Macaca mulatta: one gene and its partners. The protein of the gene in region 3 interacts with the protein of the main gene of each other region in a pairwise test. Links are inferred from orthologs where the notes say so. Each region holds a gene or a part of one and is shown on either strand. Other genes may lie near its edges.

What was found.
Region 1: the proteins of PNMA1 (region 3) and MCM7 interact in binary tests that used the Homo sapiens proteins (3 or more experiments, as listed by UniProt). The two-hybrid records come from large-scale screens. The link is inferred for Macaca mulatta from reciprocal best matches to the Homo sapiens genes PNMA1 and MCM7.
Region 2: the proteins of PNMA1 (region 3) and APTX interact in binary tests that used the Homo sapiens proteins (3 or more experiments, as listed by UniProt). The two-hybrid records come from large-scale screens. The link is inferred for Macaca mulatta from reciprocal best matches to the Homo sapiens genes PNMA1 and APTX.

Annotation. Positions count from the first base shown.
Region 1 is NC_133408.1:47,402,845-47,407,511, forward strand, and holds part of MCM7 (DNA replication licensing factor MCM7), read right to left. Parts: coding exon 4,545-4,667; intron 4,356-4,544; coding exon 4,231-4,355; intron 4,156-4,230; coding exon 3,975-4,155; intron 3,662-3,974; coding exon 3,524-3,661; intron 3,244-3,523; coding exon 3,094-3,243; intron 2,910-3,093; coding exon 2,795-2,909; intron 2,710-2,794; coding exon 2,578-2,709; intron 2,348-2,577; coding exon 2,264-2,347; intron 1,463-2,263; coding exon 1,069-1,462; intron 771-1,068; coding exon 687-770; intron 1-686. UniProt on the Homo sapiens protein: Acts as a component of the MCM2-7 complex (MCM complex) which is the replicative helicase essential for 'once per cell cycle' DNA replication initiation and elongation in eukaryotic cells.
Region 2 is NC_133420.1:66,389,097-66,394,050, reverse strand, and holds part of APTX (aprataxin), read right to left. Parts: intron 3,787-4,954; coding exon 3,560-3,786; intron 1-3,559. UniProt on the Homo sapiens protein: DNA-binding protein involved in single-strand DNA break repair, double-strand DNA break repair and base excision repair.
Region 3 is NC_133412.1:146,883,223-146,888,824, forward strand, and holds PNMA1 (paraneoplastic antigen Ma1), read right to left. Parts: upstream 3,221-5,602; 5' UTR 2,418-3,220; coding exon 1,356-2,417; 3' UTR 550-1,355; downstream 1-549.

The sequences.
Region 1 (4,667 bases), on a different chromosome or scaffold from region 3:
GGAAAAATAGCGATAGAGGCCGAGTATCCAGAATGCCTGGGAGCAGGTGTTTTAGACTTCAGATTTTGGAGTATTTGCACATACATAATGGGATAGCTTGGGGATAGGACTCCAGTCTAAACATGGAATTCACCTGTATTTCATATACAACCGACACATATAACCTGAACACAATTTTATTAAAAATATTTTTGTGGGCCAGGCACAGTGGCTCATACCTGTAATCCCAGCACTTTGGGAGGCAGAGGCGGGCAGATCACTAGGTCAGGAGATTAAGACCATCCTGGCCAACATGGTGAAACCGCTCTCTACTAAAACACAAAAAATTAGCTGGGCGTGATGGCGTGCACCTGTAATCCCAGCTATTCAGGAGGCTGAGGCAGGGGAATCGCTTGAACCTGGGAGGGAGAGGTTGCAGTGAGCTGAGATTACGCCACTACACTCCAGCCTGGCGACAGAACAAGACTTTGTCTCAAAAAAAAAAAAAAAAAAAAATTGTGTAGGAAAGTTTCCCATGTCCCTATTGTATAAAGTGTGGAATTTTCCACTTAAAAGCTGATCTCAGGCTTTGGTCATGTCCGAAGCGGGAAGTGGTGGTGTGAAAAACACACGCTAAGATTAAGCACTTTTTCAGGAGGCTCGCATGGCCCACTCAACGTTTGCCCGTCTGCACCCAGCTCTCCTACCTCATGAGCTTCATGTCCAGAGGTTCGAACTGGGAGGGGGGCTGCCGGCTGTGCTGGTGCACATAGGTGATGTGCTGGGCCAACCTGGATAGAGGGGAGGCCAGGAGGAACATCCTTTTTAGGGCTACACACCCATGTCCTCTTAGGTGTCCCTCCCTTGACTCTGCCACTTCCTTACAGTATAGGAGGGACACGCTTTCCTGAAAATCCTCATCAGCATTTCAGCCCCAACCCACCATTTCCCCGAGAACCGTGGACCAGCCCCTGATGCAAGGGGGAGGCTCTGGGGTTTCCAGGAGCACAGTATTTGTTTTGATTCACCTCCCCTCCTCCCTATAGATCATTACAGGGGACCTCTCTTTGGGTGTTGAGCTCCATTCACCGTAGGTCATTGTCTCGGTCAGGCCGGTCCTGAATCAGCCAGAGGAGGTCAAACCGGGAGAGCAGCGCGGCAGGCAGCTGTATGTTCTGCTCCAGGCTGCGGCGGGGGTTGTAGCGCCCATAGGCAGGGTTGGCGGCAGCCAGGATGGAGCAGCGGGCATTGAGTGTAGTAAGGATGCCGGCCTTGGCAATGGAGATGGTCTGCTGCTCCATGACCTCGTGGATGGCTGTGCGGTCGGCCTCGGCCATTTTGTCAAACTCATCAATGCAGCACACGCCCTGGTCAGCCAGCACCAGAGCCCCACCCTCTAAAGTCAGTTCTCCACTCACGGAGTCTCTCAGCACAGCTGCCGTAAGCCCCACTCCCGAGGAGCCCCGGCCTGTTGTGTACTGGCCTGGAAGAAAAGAAATAAGGAACCATAAGAGAGAAAGAACAAGAAGGGGAACAAACAAAGGACAATAAATGGGCCAGGGAAGCAAGGCCTGTGCTGGGATCATTCCACTGCCTCCCCCAGGCCTTCTTGAGACGCCCGAGGATCTGTGGGGGGCTGGCAACGTTCCCCTTCCCCTCCCACCGGTTCTCTTCAGAGCACAACTGTGGCTCACTGACACCCTGGCTCCTGGGCTCAAGCCATCCTCCAGCCTCAGCCTCCCAAGTAGCTGAGACTATAGGCACTCACTACCACACCCAACTAATTTTTAAAACTTTTTAGTAGAGGCCAGGCGCAGTGGCTCACACCTGTAATCCCAGCACTTTGGTAGAGGCCAAGGCAGGCAGATCATGAGGTCAGGAGTTCGAGACCAGCCTGCCCAACATAGTAAAGCCCCATCTCTACTAAAAGTACAAAAATTAGCCAAGTGTGGTGGCACGTGTCTGTAGTCCCAGCTACTCAGGAGGCTGAGAAGGGAGAATCGCTTGAACCTGAGAGGCAGAGGTTGCAGTGAGCCGAAACCACGCCATTGCACTCCAGCCTGGGTGACTGAGACTCCGTCTCAAAAAAAGGAAACAAACAAACAAAAATACCCAAACAAACAAACTTTTTAGTAGACCAGCCTGGTCTCAAACGATCCTTCCGCCTCAGCCTCTCAGAGCATTGGGGTTACAAGTGTGAGCCACCATGCACCCCCATTTTTTGAATAAACACTGTGGCCCTATCTGTCACTATGTTCACCTCTCCCAAGGCCCAACTACTTACTGCGGGGGGCCAGCCGATCAATGTACGACAGGAGTTGAGACTTGGCCACACCAGGATCCCCCATCAGACAGATGTTGATGTTGCCTGGAGGAAGGGAAGGCAGCCCTGGAATGACTCTTCTCCCAATACTTAGACAACAACAGAGCAATTTTGAGTTCTGCCTCCCTCTAACACCCAGCATTACTTCTAAGCCCTCCCTGTGTCCATGAACGCAAGATGTCCACTCTTATACTCTGACCTACAGAGACACTTGTCATCCTTTTTCCCTCCTAAATGACTTCATCCCCCCGAGCCTCTCCCTTTTTCCTTCTTACCCCGGATCTTCATGCCTCGAGGAGACTGGTCCACACCCCCCACTAGCAGAAGCAGCAGTGCCTTCTTCACATCTTCGTGCCCATATATTTCTGGGGCGATTGAAGCTGCCAGCTTTTCGTAGAAATCCTCTTCTGTAGAGAAGTTAAGGTTGTATTTTTTGGGGGAAAAGGGGGCTAGGATGTAAATGGAATTTCCTCTATCTCCCCTGCCCCTCACCTGCAATCTGCCTCAGCTCCTCCCTGCTGAGCTCTCCAGCCCCAGACTCATCATCCTCACTCTTGTTCATCTTCACAATCCGATGGGCTTCCAGGTAGGTTTCTGAGAGTAAACCCTTGGGCAGGAAAATGCCAGGATACAGATGCAATCCCTTCAACTTGCCCATCACTGGATTCCCTAACGATTTCTTGACAAATCCCTGGGTTCTGTTTGGGGTTTTGCTGCCCACTTTTCTCTGTGCGAGTAGAATGAGTAGGTGAGGGAAAAGGGGACGATCCTCATGTCAAACTCTTCCTTACCTGTACCACCTGTCGGAACCCAGTGCGCAGGATTGGCAAGAAGATACCAGTGACGCTGACGTGGTCTCCAGGCTGGGCAATTCTCGTGTTCTCTCCTTCTACCAGCACCGTGATACTACGAGGGATGTTTCCCACGGGCACTTGATCACTCTAGGGGAGAGAAAGGCACATAAGGCCAGGAGAAATGGACGAGGACCCAACCTTCCCTCCCTAGGCATCCCACTCAAAGGCTCCCAGGCTGCCTAGTCACAGACAAGCCCACAGGAGGGCTACTGAGTTTCCCCTTCCCAAGGCTCTCAGAAATTCTAGTTCCACTTCCCTCCTGCACTTCCCTCTTTCGTTCTTCTTTTTTCCTGCCACTCCACAAGTGACTACAGGATTCAAGTGGACTCTCAATCCACCTGCCCAGGGCCACGTACCCCAAACTCACATGTTCTTGCATCTTCATCTCCTGGAATTTGATGAATTTGGAGCCCCGTGTCTGCAGATACAGCCGCCCTCCTGAGCGGTTGGTTTGGCACTCCTGGCTTGGGCACATGATCAGAGGCATGAAAGTTGGAGACTGGATCTAGGATGTGAGAACAGAAGCACCAAAAGGAAGTCAGAAGCAAAAGAGCCCCATTGGGTCGGTCGGTTCCTTGAATCACATTTTCTCTTCATGGCAGACATCTTGGAAGTGTCAAGAACCCTTTGAACTTAACTCTGGGTCAACAACAAACACCCAAGAAATAGGTAGAAAGACCATGACATACCCAACAATGAAAGGCAAACACACAGACAACTTTTACAAGCAAAGAAAATGATAGGCATCACAGGATCAAATTAATCTCTACAAAACGACTAATGGGTAAGGGCTTTCCTGCTCCTTGCTCCACACGTACCGGCTGGTAGGTCTCTGCCCCACACTGGTCACAAGTGTAAGTGGCCACCACCATCTTGGGTTTGACTTCAGAGACACGAGTGACAATTCCACGCACAGTCACCAATTTCCCCACAGAGTCAGCCCGCACTTCCCGGATCACACGAGGCTTGTTGCTACTTGGGCCTTGAAAATACAGCTCACTAAGGGGAGAAAACAGTCACAAACAAGATCCTGGAGAACCAATCCCTACATACTTCCCAACAGAGACCACTCACAATCTGCGCATGAGTTCAGCAGGGTACTGGTTCTGGGGGCTTCGGGCTGTTCCAGGGTCCCGACTCCGCTGCTCCATCATCAGCCGATGCTCAATGTAAACGTCCAGGACATCTTTATTTACCACCTAAAGGAGAACAAAATAAACAAATAAATAAATAAACGAGCAACAGGATGGGGAAAGGAGAGCGCAGAGAACACGAGACTGAAGTGCCCCTTCTTTCTGCCTGCTCAGAAAACATCAGTATCTGAGCAGCCTCTCTACAGAAGCTTAAATGCCTTTCCCTTTGTTTGCCATTGTTCTCTAGCCACTCACTTCCCTCTCCTTGTACTGAGGCAGCAGCTCTTGTACGGAATCGGCAAAGAGCTTTGCGTAGCGCCTGGCATTCTCACAAATTGAGTCCACCAACTCGGGGTCATCCTCGGCTACGTCGTCCAG
Region 2 (4,954 bases), on a different chromosome or scaffold from region 3:
AACAAGAATGAAACTTACAGAGTTGGAATGGTGTCAGAGATATCAGTATGAACTCGTGATTTTCCACATACAAATAAAGGCAAAAAAACACAGAATTATAGGGCTGTGTGTGTGTGTATGGGTTAGGATTCATACAGGTATTTCTGGCTCTATTGGCTGAGAGGACCTAGATGCAAGGACACCCTGGAATCAACCACTTCTCTGACAGAAACCTAGGGCCCAAGACCTAGGGCTCTTTGGAGAAGTGGTTCATTCCAGATAAGCCTGGAACATCTTGTGGGGCCAGAAAATAAATTGCCCAAAAGATGGTGAAGGCATATCAAAGTCACACAAGAGCTGACCTAAACGGGCTTTCAATAACCAAAGCTGAACAATTTGAGCAACAAAATAATTATAGTATTGAATTATAACCTATAGAATAAACATCCATGAGTCCATACTATTAAATGATTGAATAAAGAACTAATGAGAAAGACGGAACAGCTGGTTCACACAGAATAATTTCAACCAATAAGTTAGGTGAAGGAAGTATAAAGTCACTATAGAATAAATACCAATACAATAACTATTACAGGCAAGATGAACCAGTAGATGCTAAAATCATTGGGTGCAAGTTTGAGGAGACATAGTAGCATAGTCTCAAAATATCTAACCCAAAATATTCATGAATTTAAAAAAAAAAAAAAAAAAAAACAGTCAATTTTGAAGGTGGAAACCTGGCAGACACCACCTTAACAAAATGATCAAGGTTAACATGACCAGTAATAAATGATCTCAACATCATGCCACCCCCATATGATATATTGAGAAGGACACAATCAGAAACATCACGTCAGTGATTTAAAAAATGGATAATGTCAACCTAATCATGAAAAAAAAAATTAGACAAACCCATATTAAAAGACATCCTAAAGACAATTAGCCAGTACTCATCAAAAGTGTCAAGGTCATGAAAGCCAGGAAAGTAGGAATTGTCACAGATAGAGGGAGACTAAGAAGAGAACAAATAAATGAAATGTGAGATTGGATTCTGGAGTAGAAAAAGAACAATACAGGAAAAATTGGTGAAATTCAAATAAGGTCTATAGTTTAGTTATCTACAGTTAGTATTATGGAAGGTCTTTGTTCTTTTTCATACTTAATTTTTTATTTCTTAACTGAAAACATTACTTTTACACTAGGAAAAATAAATTTACTTATCACCTTTTCCTTTCTAACATGTTCATTTATTCAAAATTACATCATACAGAGTAATATAAAAGGGTATATAAATAGCAACTTTGCTTATTGGCTCAATTTGCCTCCCATATATACCTACCACAGCTCTTGCTGTAAGCATTCTCCATAGCATGACAACATTCACTATATGAAAAAGGTAAGGGCATCATGATCACTATGTGAAAAGGGCTCAGTGGCCAAGGGCTCTGTTAGTCAGGGGCTCTGCATTAGGGAAACAGGATTGTGGGTGACTTTCCCTCCTAAATTTTCAAATCAGGCTTTAACAATACAAATATATTTTTAAAGTGAGGTACAGCATACATCCACCCTATGACCTAACAATTCCATCTCCAAATATTTATTCTTTTTTTTCTTCTTCTTCTTTTTTGAGACAGAGTCTCACTCCGTTGCCCAGGCTGGAGTACAGTGGTGCAACCATAGCTCACTGCAGCCTCAACCTCCTGGGCTCAAGTGATCCTTCCATCTCAACCTCCCAAGTAGCAGGTGTGTACCACCACCCCCGGCTAATTTTTTGTATTTTTTGTAGAGACAGGTTTTGCCATGTTGCCCAGGCTGGGATCCCTAAATATTCACTCAAGGGGAAAAAATAAAATAAAGTACATATGTCCATGATACACATAATAACACACATGAATCTCAAAATTATGCTGACCCAAAAAAGCCAGACCAAAAAAGAGTATGCAATGTATGATTCCATTTATACGTGGTAGCTCTAGAAGAGACAAAAACTATCTATGCTGAAGGAAATAAAAGCAATGCTTGAGGGAGGATTGACTAGAAAGGGGTAAAAGGGAACTTTCTGGGATGAAAAGATAAGACATCTTCTGTATCTTAATCAGAATGATAGTGGCAAGATTGTACGCACTTATGAAAACTGATCAAACTATGCATCTTATGCACTTTATTGTATGTAAGTTATGCCTCAATTTAAAAGAATCAGTACTGACTAGGGAAAAATCTGGCACAAAGATTTCATTTGGTTAAAGTGGCCAGTAACCTAAGTCGTAATTGTTCACCTAAATAAAATGTGAGTGTTGGTAGTTAAAATAAATAAATAAATAAGCAGAGAAAATCCTGTCACATGCTACAACATGGATGAGCCTTGAAGACATTATGCTAACTAAAATAAGCCAGTCACAAAAGGACAAGTATGTCCCTGTATGTAGGTACCAATATGAGGTACCTAGAGCAGTCAAATTCACAGGGAAGGAAAGTACAATGGTGGTTGCCACAAGTGGGAGGAGGAAATGGAGAGTTATTATTTAAGGTACAGAGTTTCAGTTTGGGAAGAGAAAACAGTTCTGGAGACGGATGGTAATAATAGCTGCATAGCAATATGAATATAGTAATGCCAATGAATTGTACACTTAAAGATGACTAAAATGGGCCAGGCGCGGTGGCTCAAGCCTGTAATCCCAGCACTTTGGGAGGCCGAGGCGGGCGGATCACAAGGTCAGGAGATCGAGACCACAGTGAAACCCCGTCTCTACTAAAAATACAAAAAATTAGCCGGGCGCGGTGACGGGCGCCTGTAGTCCCAGCTACTCAGGAGGCTGAGGCAGGAGAATGGCGTGAACCCAGGAGGCGGAGCTTGCAGTGAGCCGAGATCGCACCACTGCACTCCAGCCTGGGCAACAGCGTGAGACTCTGTCTCAAAAAAAAAAAAAAAAAAGATGACTAAAATGTAAATTTTGTTATGTATATTCTATCACAGTTTTTAAAAAAACAAAATAAAAACTCTAAAATCTAGACTCATCATCTTATTGCTTAAATCAAAGGAATCATGGAGATCCACCTTGCTTGTATCCTTTGAAAGAAATCAATCATTCCTTTCTGAATCCTTCTGGGCATAAGCCATAGGAAAACAGATTCTACACTTTTCTGTCATTTTATTTTCAAATCCTGCATCTACTAAGCTGTCATTACAGAAGTCTATGATGTTTGTTTCCTTCAGAGTAATGGTCCTTAATCATTCTGGGGTTACAGATGCTTTTGAAGAATCTGATAAAAGCCACTGACCACAATTCTTCATCTGAGGATAACGAAGCTGCTTCATCTAGTTCATATATTAGGCTCTCGAAGGTTTATATTTTGAGAGGAACAAAGAACCAAATGTAACTGAATTATAGGCAGAAGTGGGAACTCAAAGCTTGCATGCAAGTCAGGCAGAGAGATGGAGCCTTCAGCCCACCTGCTTTGGAAAAACTCCATCCCACTTCCCTGGGCCTCAGTGCAATCAGTGCCTTCAGCAAGCCCAGGCTTAATCTATCTGCCCACCTGGACAGAACCAGGAGCCAGCAGCACTACCCACATGGCTTACCTCATACTCGGAATGGCGTGGTAGCCCAATCGGAAGCGGAGTTTGCTGGACCCAGCAAAATCTACAATCACCTTTTCCCCCACAGTGTGCATATGCTTGAGGAGTTCAAGGTGCTCCCTGGTCACAGCCTTCAGACTGGAAATGGCGGTCCATGGTAAGACCAGCCAATGGTAACGGGCCTTTGGGTATTTATCCTTTATTACCACCACCTGCTCATCTTTGTAAACCTAGCAGAGGGACACAAGAGAAGGAAGCAGACATCTACTAAGAATCTTCTGTGTGCCTGGTTGTTATATTCTCTAAGTCACTTAATTCTCACAATCTTGTGCAAATAGTTTTCATAGCCCAGTTTTGAGAGATGAGAGCACTGAGATTCAGATAGGTTCAGTGTCTTGCACAAGTCATAGTTCCTAAGAGGGAAATCTAGGATTTCAACTCAGATCTAGCTGACTCCAGAGTCTGTTTTCAACCACCACACTACACAGAATACACAGAAGATGCATAGTACAAAATAGTTCCCAAGGATCTGATGTAAAATCTCTGTAGGCATAAATTCAAAAGCATCCTTCTCCACTCCAACATGGCAGACTGTGTGACACATACACATGGGTTCCAGTGAGCCCTATTAGACCTGCCCCTTGTCAACCAGGAATGTAATTGAAGTGTAACTCAAAGGCTCCTCAAGGATGATGCCTGGTTTTTTTTTGTTTTTTTTGGTTTTTTTTGTTTTTTGAGATGGAGTTTTGCTCTTGTTGCCCAGGCTGGAGTGCAATGGCGTGATCTCAGCTCACCACAATCTCCACCTCCAGATTCAAGCGATTCTCCTGCCTCAGCCTCTCGAGTAGCTGGGATTACAGGCATGCGCCACCACGCCCAGCTAATTTTTTTTTTTTTTTTTTTTTTGAGACGGAGTCTCGCTGTGTCTCCCAGGCTGGAGTGCAGTGGCGTGATCTCGGCTCACTGCAAGCTCCGCCTCCCGGGTTCACGCCATTCTCCCGCCTCAGCCTCCCAAGTAGCTGAGACTACAGGTGCCCGCCACCACGCCCGGCTAGTTTTCTGTATTTTTAGTAGAGACGGGGTTTCACCATGTTAGCCAGGATAGTCTCGATCTCCTGACCTCGTGATCCACCCGCCTCGGCCTCCCAAAGTGCTGGGATTACAGGCTTGAGCCACCGCGCCCAGCCTAATTTTTTATATTGTTAGTAGAGACGGAGTTTCTCCATGTTGGTCAGGCTGATCTCAAACTCCTGACCTCAGGTGATCCTCCCACCTCGGCCTCCCAAAGTGCTGGGATTACAGGGATGTCTGACTGTTAATGCCAGGGCAGCACAGTACTACTGTCACAGTATATTATCTCTGATGCTCCCCTGAAAGGAACCATACTAAGGTTAATGC
Region 3 (5,602 bases):
AGGCACCCACCACCACACCCGGCTAATTTTTGTATTTTTAGTAGAAAAAACTAGATGGCTCATGCCTGTAATCCCAGCACTTTGGGAAGCCGAGGCAGGTGGATCACTTGAGGTCAGGCGTTCCAGACCAACCTGACCAACGTGGTGAAACCCATCTCTACTAAAAAAATACAAAATTAGCTAGGTGTGGTGGCACATGCCTGTAATCCCAGCTACTCAGGAGGCTGAGGCAGGAGAATCACTTGAATCCGGGGGAGGCAGACGTTGCAGTGAGCTGAGATCGCTCCATTGCACTCCAGCCTGGGCAACAGAGCAAGACCCTCTCTGCCCTTAATAAAAATAAAAAATTTAAAAAATTAAAAAATAAACCAAAAAAATGTTAAGATGACAGCAAGAGGGGAAGGAAAAAAAAGGACTTGCCATTTAAATTCACATAGTATCATACAAAGCTTAAGAGTAAAATAAATGGTTTAATGACAAAGTCTTCATAAGAAAAAAGGACAGAGTTTACTTAGGCTAAAAATGTTTATACATGCCAGAAAAATGAGAAGACAACAGAATTTTTAAAATATTTTAATTTGTATATATAACTTCAAATTTAGAACACTCAGTATGAACAAGAACTATTCTCTGACAAAGATCTGAAATGGGGAAGTGAATTACTGTACAGGTGCATATCAACCTCTCCATGCAATTTACATCTGTATCTTATGCAATGAGAAACTGGTTTACACAGCTCCGTAATTGCAGTATTTTTTTAACACCCCATTTTGCAGTCTCAGAATACTTTTCAATTAAACTGATCGACATGTTTAAAGATGAGAAATATGATGTTTGCATTGTAAAGTTGAGTAATAGCTAATAAATGCACATTTCCTTCCATCAATATAAATCTGGAACTATTTATGGTAAAGAAAAATCTATCTGCGCTATCAGTAATCTAATAGTTCATACTTTTACTGAACACTTCCTGTGAGCCAGGCCCCGTAGTAAACATCTGCACATGCAATTTCACATTCAGTGTGGAATAGGAAGTGTCAGAGGTTCGTGTGTTTTTCACAACTGATTATGATGTCCATGATGACAGCGTGCACTAAGCGCTGTGTCCAACCAACCCTTTACCTGGCACTTTAGCCAGCAAGACCCACTTGCATTGTAGCAGCTCACGGTGCTCGCTTGCACAATTTTAGAATGTTACATGAATACTCAGGCCTGACTAACCTTCCCCTCCAAAAAAACAACAAAACGGAACAGGGCTAAGCCTTTACTACTCAGAGACACATCTGTAAGACCCCCACAGGGACAAGAAAACTAGCTGTGATCTAGGTCTGCACTAAAGCTGTCTTTTCTGGCACTCAGAAGTGCCCTTCCAGGCCTAACTGCAGAAGGGTGGCCTCAGCCTCCTCCTCCTCCTCCTTGGCTTCCTCCTCACGGATCTGCACCAGCAACTGAAAGAGGTTTGGGGCCGGCCCTTCCCCAGCCCCGGTAAGCCACAGCTGCCTTCGGATGGCCCCGCTGTGGTTGGCCCCAGCAATGACCTGCTCTAGGCGGGCCTGGTTCACGTTATCTTTATCAATGGCCCCCTTCTCTACCACCTTCTGTAGCAGAGGCTCCAGACGAATGACATAAGCAGACAATTTTTCTCCCGGGTTCTGATAAGTGTTCAGAAATTTGATCTGGGCATCCCTAGAGCTCTCAACGCTCCCAAACACCTGCTCAAGCGCCTTCAGGCATTCGGCAGTGGTTATCGCGGGGTTGTTGGACTTGAGGATGCGAATGACATCAGCGGCAGGGCCTCTAAGGCTCTCCATCAACCGCCGCCTCTTTTCTACATCGGACACCTGCCACTCCTCTAGGACCTCATTAGTGTGCTCCAGCCAGGGATCAAAGGTTTCCTCTCCAGGCCCTGGGATGTCCCTCCCCGAGAAAAGTGTCAGCCTCTTGTACCATATGGACTCAACAAGAGGCTGAATAACATTATCCAAAATATAGTTTAGCATCTCTGCTGGCATCTCTGGGCCCGGGGTCGGAGTAGGGTTCTGAAACCCAAGGACACGGGCAACATCTTGCACGGTCCACCCCTCTCTAGCTAGGAAGAGGTGCAATCTTTCTAAAAATTCAGCATCAGAAGTTGGGGGCTTAAACAACACTTTCCAGACCCCTCCTTTGCCCGGCATCTCCCTGGGGATCGCGGCGTAATCGACAGCGCCAGTGAGCTCTAATAAGGCTGCTTTCGCATTTTCTTCCCTCCAGAACATTCTCCCAAGCATTCGGTAGGGGACCTGGGGCATCGCTGCCTGGAGGGTCTCTTCGATTTCAGCCTCATCACAGTTCACTGGGATGCCCCAGACCAACAGAGCTCTCTGGGAGTTCACATCCATCCCCCGGCACCAGTCTTCCAACAGTGTCATCGCCATTTTCTCAACTATCAAGACGCCAATTCTACCAACAGACTGTGGCTCACCGTACTCCTGGCCTTAGAACAATACCAGACACTCCCACCAAGTAGGCCCAAGGGAGGTAGGCTTCATGCATTCACGACTAACAAAGACACAGAGTCCTGATCTCGCCCTTCTCTGCCCCCCCAGTCAGTCCGTAGGTACACTTGGAGCTGAGCTCGGGGACGCTGAGGAAGTCACGCGGCCGTCGCCATCTTGCGTCTGGGTCCGGGTCCGGTCGGGTCTGCCGCTTGCAGCCGGGCTGTCGCGTCGTCGTGCAGCGGGCAAGGAGCGAGGGCGGGCGGCGAAGGCAGGCGCGCTGGGTCGAAAGCAGCCGGGGTGTGGTCGCGGGGCGTGCCCGCCGGGCGCTCGCTGCGGCTCCTGGAGAGGATCGGGCGTTCGCGGTCGCAGCCTGGTCTTCCCGCGGGCGAGGAGCGGCCGTTTGGGAGACTAGCCAGAGGGAGAGACTGTGCCGAAGTCGCGGCGGCTGCGGGCCAGCGGAGAGCGGCTTCTTGGAGGGCGTGGGGACTCCTCTTGGCGGGCGCGGGGACTCCTCTGGGCGGGCGGCGAGGACGGCCGAGGACCAGAAACGAAGGCAGCAGAGGAGCAGGAAAGCCGGAGAAGCGAGGCTGGAAACAGCACAGGCAAGGGTGGGCAGCGGCGGCCGCGGCGGCCTGCAGCGGCTCAGGCGCTGCGCGGCTGCCCCAGCGTCGAGTCCTACCCGCAACCCGCTGCGACGTTACTGCTGCAGTGGAGGATGGGGCCAGCCCGCGAGCGGCGTCAGCCCCGCCCCGTCCCGCCCCTGTGGCGGAGCCGCTCGGGCGTCGCCATGGCAACGGCGCCCCAGCTGGCGCGAATCACGCCTGCTCCGGCGGCCCGCGGGGGTCGAGCGGTTGCCATGGTGCCAGCGAGGGGCTCGGGCATTTGTTTCTCTGATGGCGCATTTCCTTTTTCATAATTTTCCATTTTAACAGCAAACAAATACTGCTAAGCACCGTGTTTTAAAAATAATAACCCAATCCTGGAGTGGATTTAAGATGATACTATTGGAAGTCATGGCATCCCTCATGGTGGACTTGTCTACTCGGGTTGCCCAGCCAGTCCACCCTGCACGTGAAAATACTCTCCTCAGAACCCTGGCTTCCCGTTACCCCTGACCACACTGTGCACCCTGCGTATTTTATCCCAATGAAGCCGGAGTGCGCCATTTTTTGTGTGAGATACTGAGTTTAGACTTTTTCTTGTCTAAACTTTTGTAAACATCTGTTTGTCTGTGTCTACTGAGTCATCTTTTAGCCAGGCAAACATTAGTGTTATTTTCCTTTTCCTGGCTGGCATCGACAATAGGCTGCTAAAAGAGAATCCTTATGGCTCAAAAATGTCGAGTAATCTCCCTGCAAGCAAGACAAGGCCCACTTACATCAACCCCAGATGGTGAAAATCCCGAGAGAACATAGCATTCAACTCTGAATTTTTAAAACCTTATTTAATAAAAGGTTTAAAGATACAGAAGAACATTCAAAAGTAAATAAGTTACATAGGTACATTACAATCACATCAGCAAGATTCTTTAGTGTATTAATTTTTTCTTATAAAAAGCACACAAAAAATAAAATCTTCAGTCTCTATCACAACTGTACAGCAAAAGAGGTAATATTTATATGTATGTACACTATTTTAATATGTAACAGTCTTTTTCAAAAAGGGTGCCACAGGCAGCAAACACACAAAAGGCAGTGTCTGATCATTTTTGTTTCAAAATAAAAGGAATATACTTATTTATATGCTATTAAAATATTTGTACAATAATTACAGACTGTCAAGGCTGTTCCTGTGCTCTGTCCCCTCCAACAAGGCCTTCAACTTAGAGACAAATGAGGAAAAAGTGAAACAGCTGCAAATTGTTAGAGGCAAATATTAACATAGCAAAATGTGGGGAGGACACAATTGTTTTATAAAAATATCCCTACTTCCTGTAAACCTATGGAGTTAGGCTTGCCAGTCTGATAATAAATACCGTCCCAGAAAAGCGAGCCCCAGTGAAAACAACTAAACAGCTGAGGCTTGAGCATGTGTTGTATTCCTCCTTCATCTTAACATCTGGCACATGAGAAGAAAGAGGTTAGGTCACTGAGGCAGTTAAATATAGGCGATCCCTTTAGACATAAGCAGCAAAAGACCTTGGTGCCAGGAGTGGAAGGGGGCGCGGCAGAAGGGGTGGTATGTACCTTAGCTGTGAGGGGGGCTGCTGAAGGCATGGAGGACAGTAATGATGGCTCTGCCTCCTTGGATGGGTGGAGACCTCAGAAATGGTCTGCAGCACAGGCACTAGGTCAGTTTCCCGCCCTTAGCTGAATGCAGATGGATGCTGGGAGATGGATATGGTGAGATGGTGTGGGGAGGATGTTAAGAAAGCTGGAGGTGTTTATCACTTCTCAGAGCTCTGAATATAGGGAAAAAAACAACAAGAGACAAGCCCAGGGAGAAAGCACCATTAAGGATATACCTATGCCAGCTTCTATAGCTGCACCTACTTTATTGGCAAGTCACTTGCCACAATTACATCTACCCTCTAAACTTTTTAATTTTCACACTGTATCCAAGACATGAATGCATCCTGGAGCATGGACCTTCCTAAAATATGGTGTCTGGCAGGATTAATGCAGAGAGGTACCATCTTGATTTTCCCCAGTTACATTCACCGGGTCTGGTCTCTGTACGCTTAGAAGAGTAGAATCACTTTCTTGTTTAAACATTTATGGCCGGGCGCGGTGGTTCACGCCTGTAATGCCAGCACTTTGGGAGGCCGAGGCGAGTGGATCACCTAAGGTCAGGAGTTCAAGACCAGCCTGTCCAACATGGCAAAACCCCGTCTCTACTAAAAAAAAAACATACAAAAATATTAGCTGGGTGTGGTGGTGTGTGCCTGTAATCCCAGCTACTCAGGAGGCTGAAGCAGGAGAATCCTTTAACCCGAGAGGCAGAGGTTGCAGTGAGCCGAGATCGCACCACTGCACTCCAGCCTGGGCGACAGAATGGGACTCTGTCGCAAAAAAAAAAAAATTTTTTTTCCAAGTACAAGATGTTACCACTGAACAAAAGGGTCTCCTGAATGATGGAGGTTTCTGTTACCCTATGTCCATAAAGGGGACTGAAACCAAATA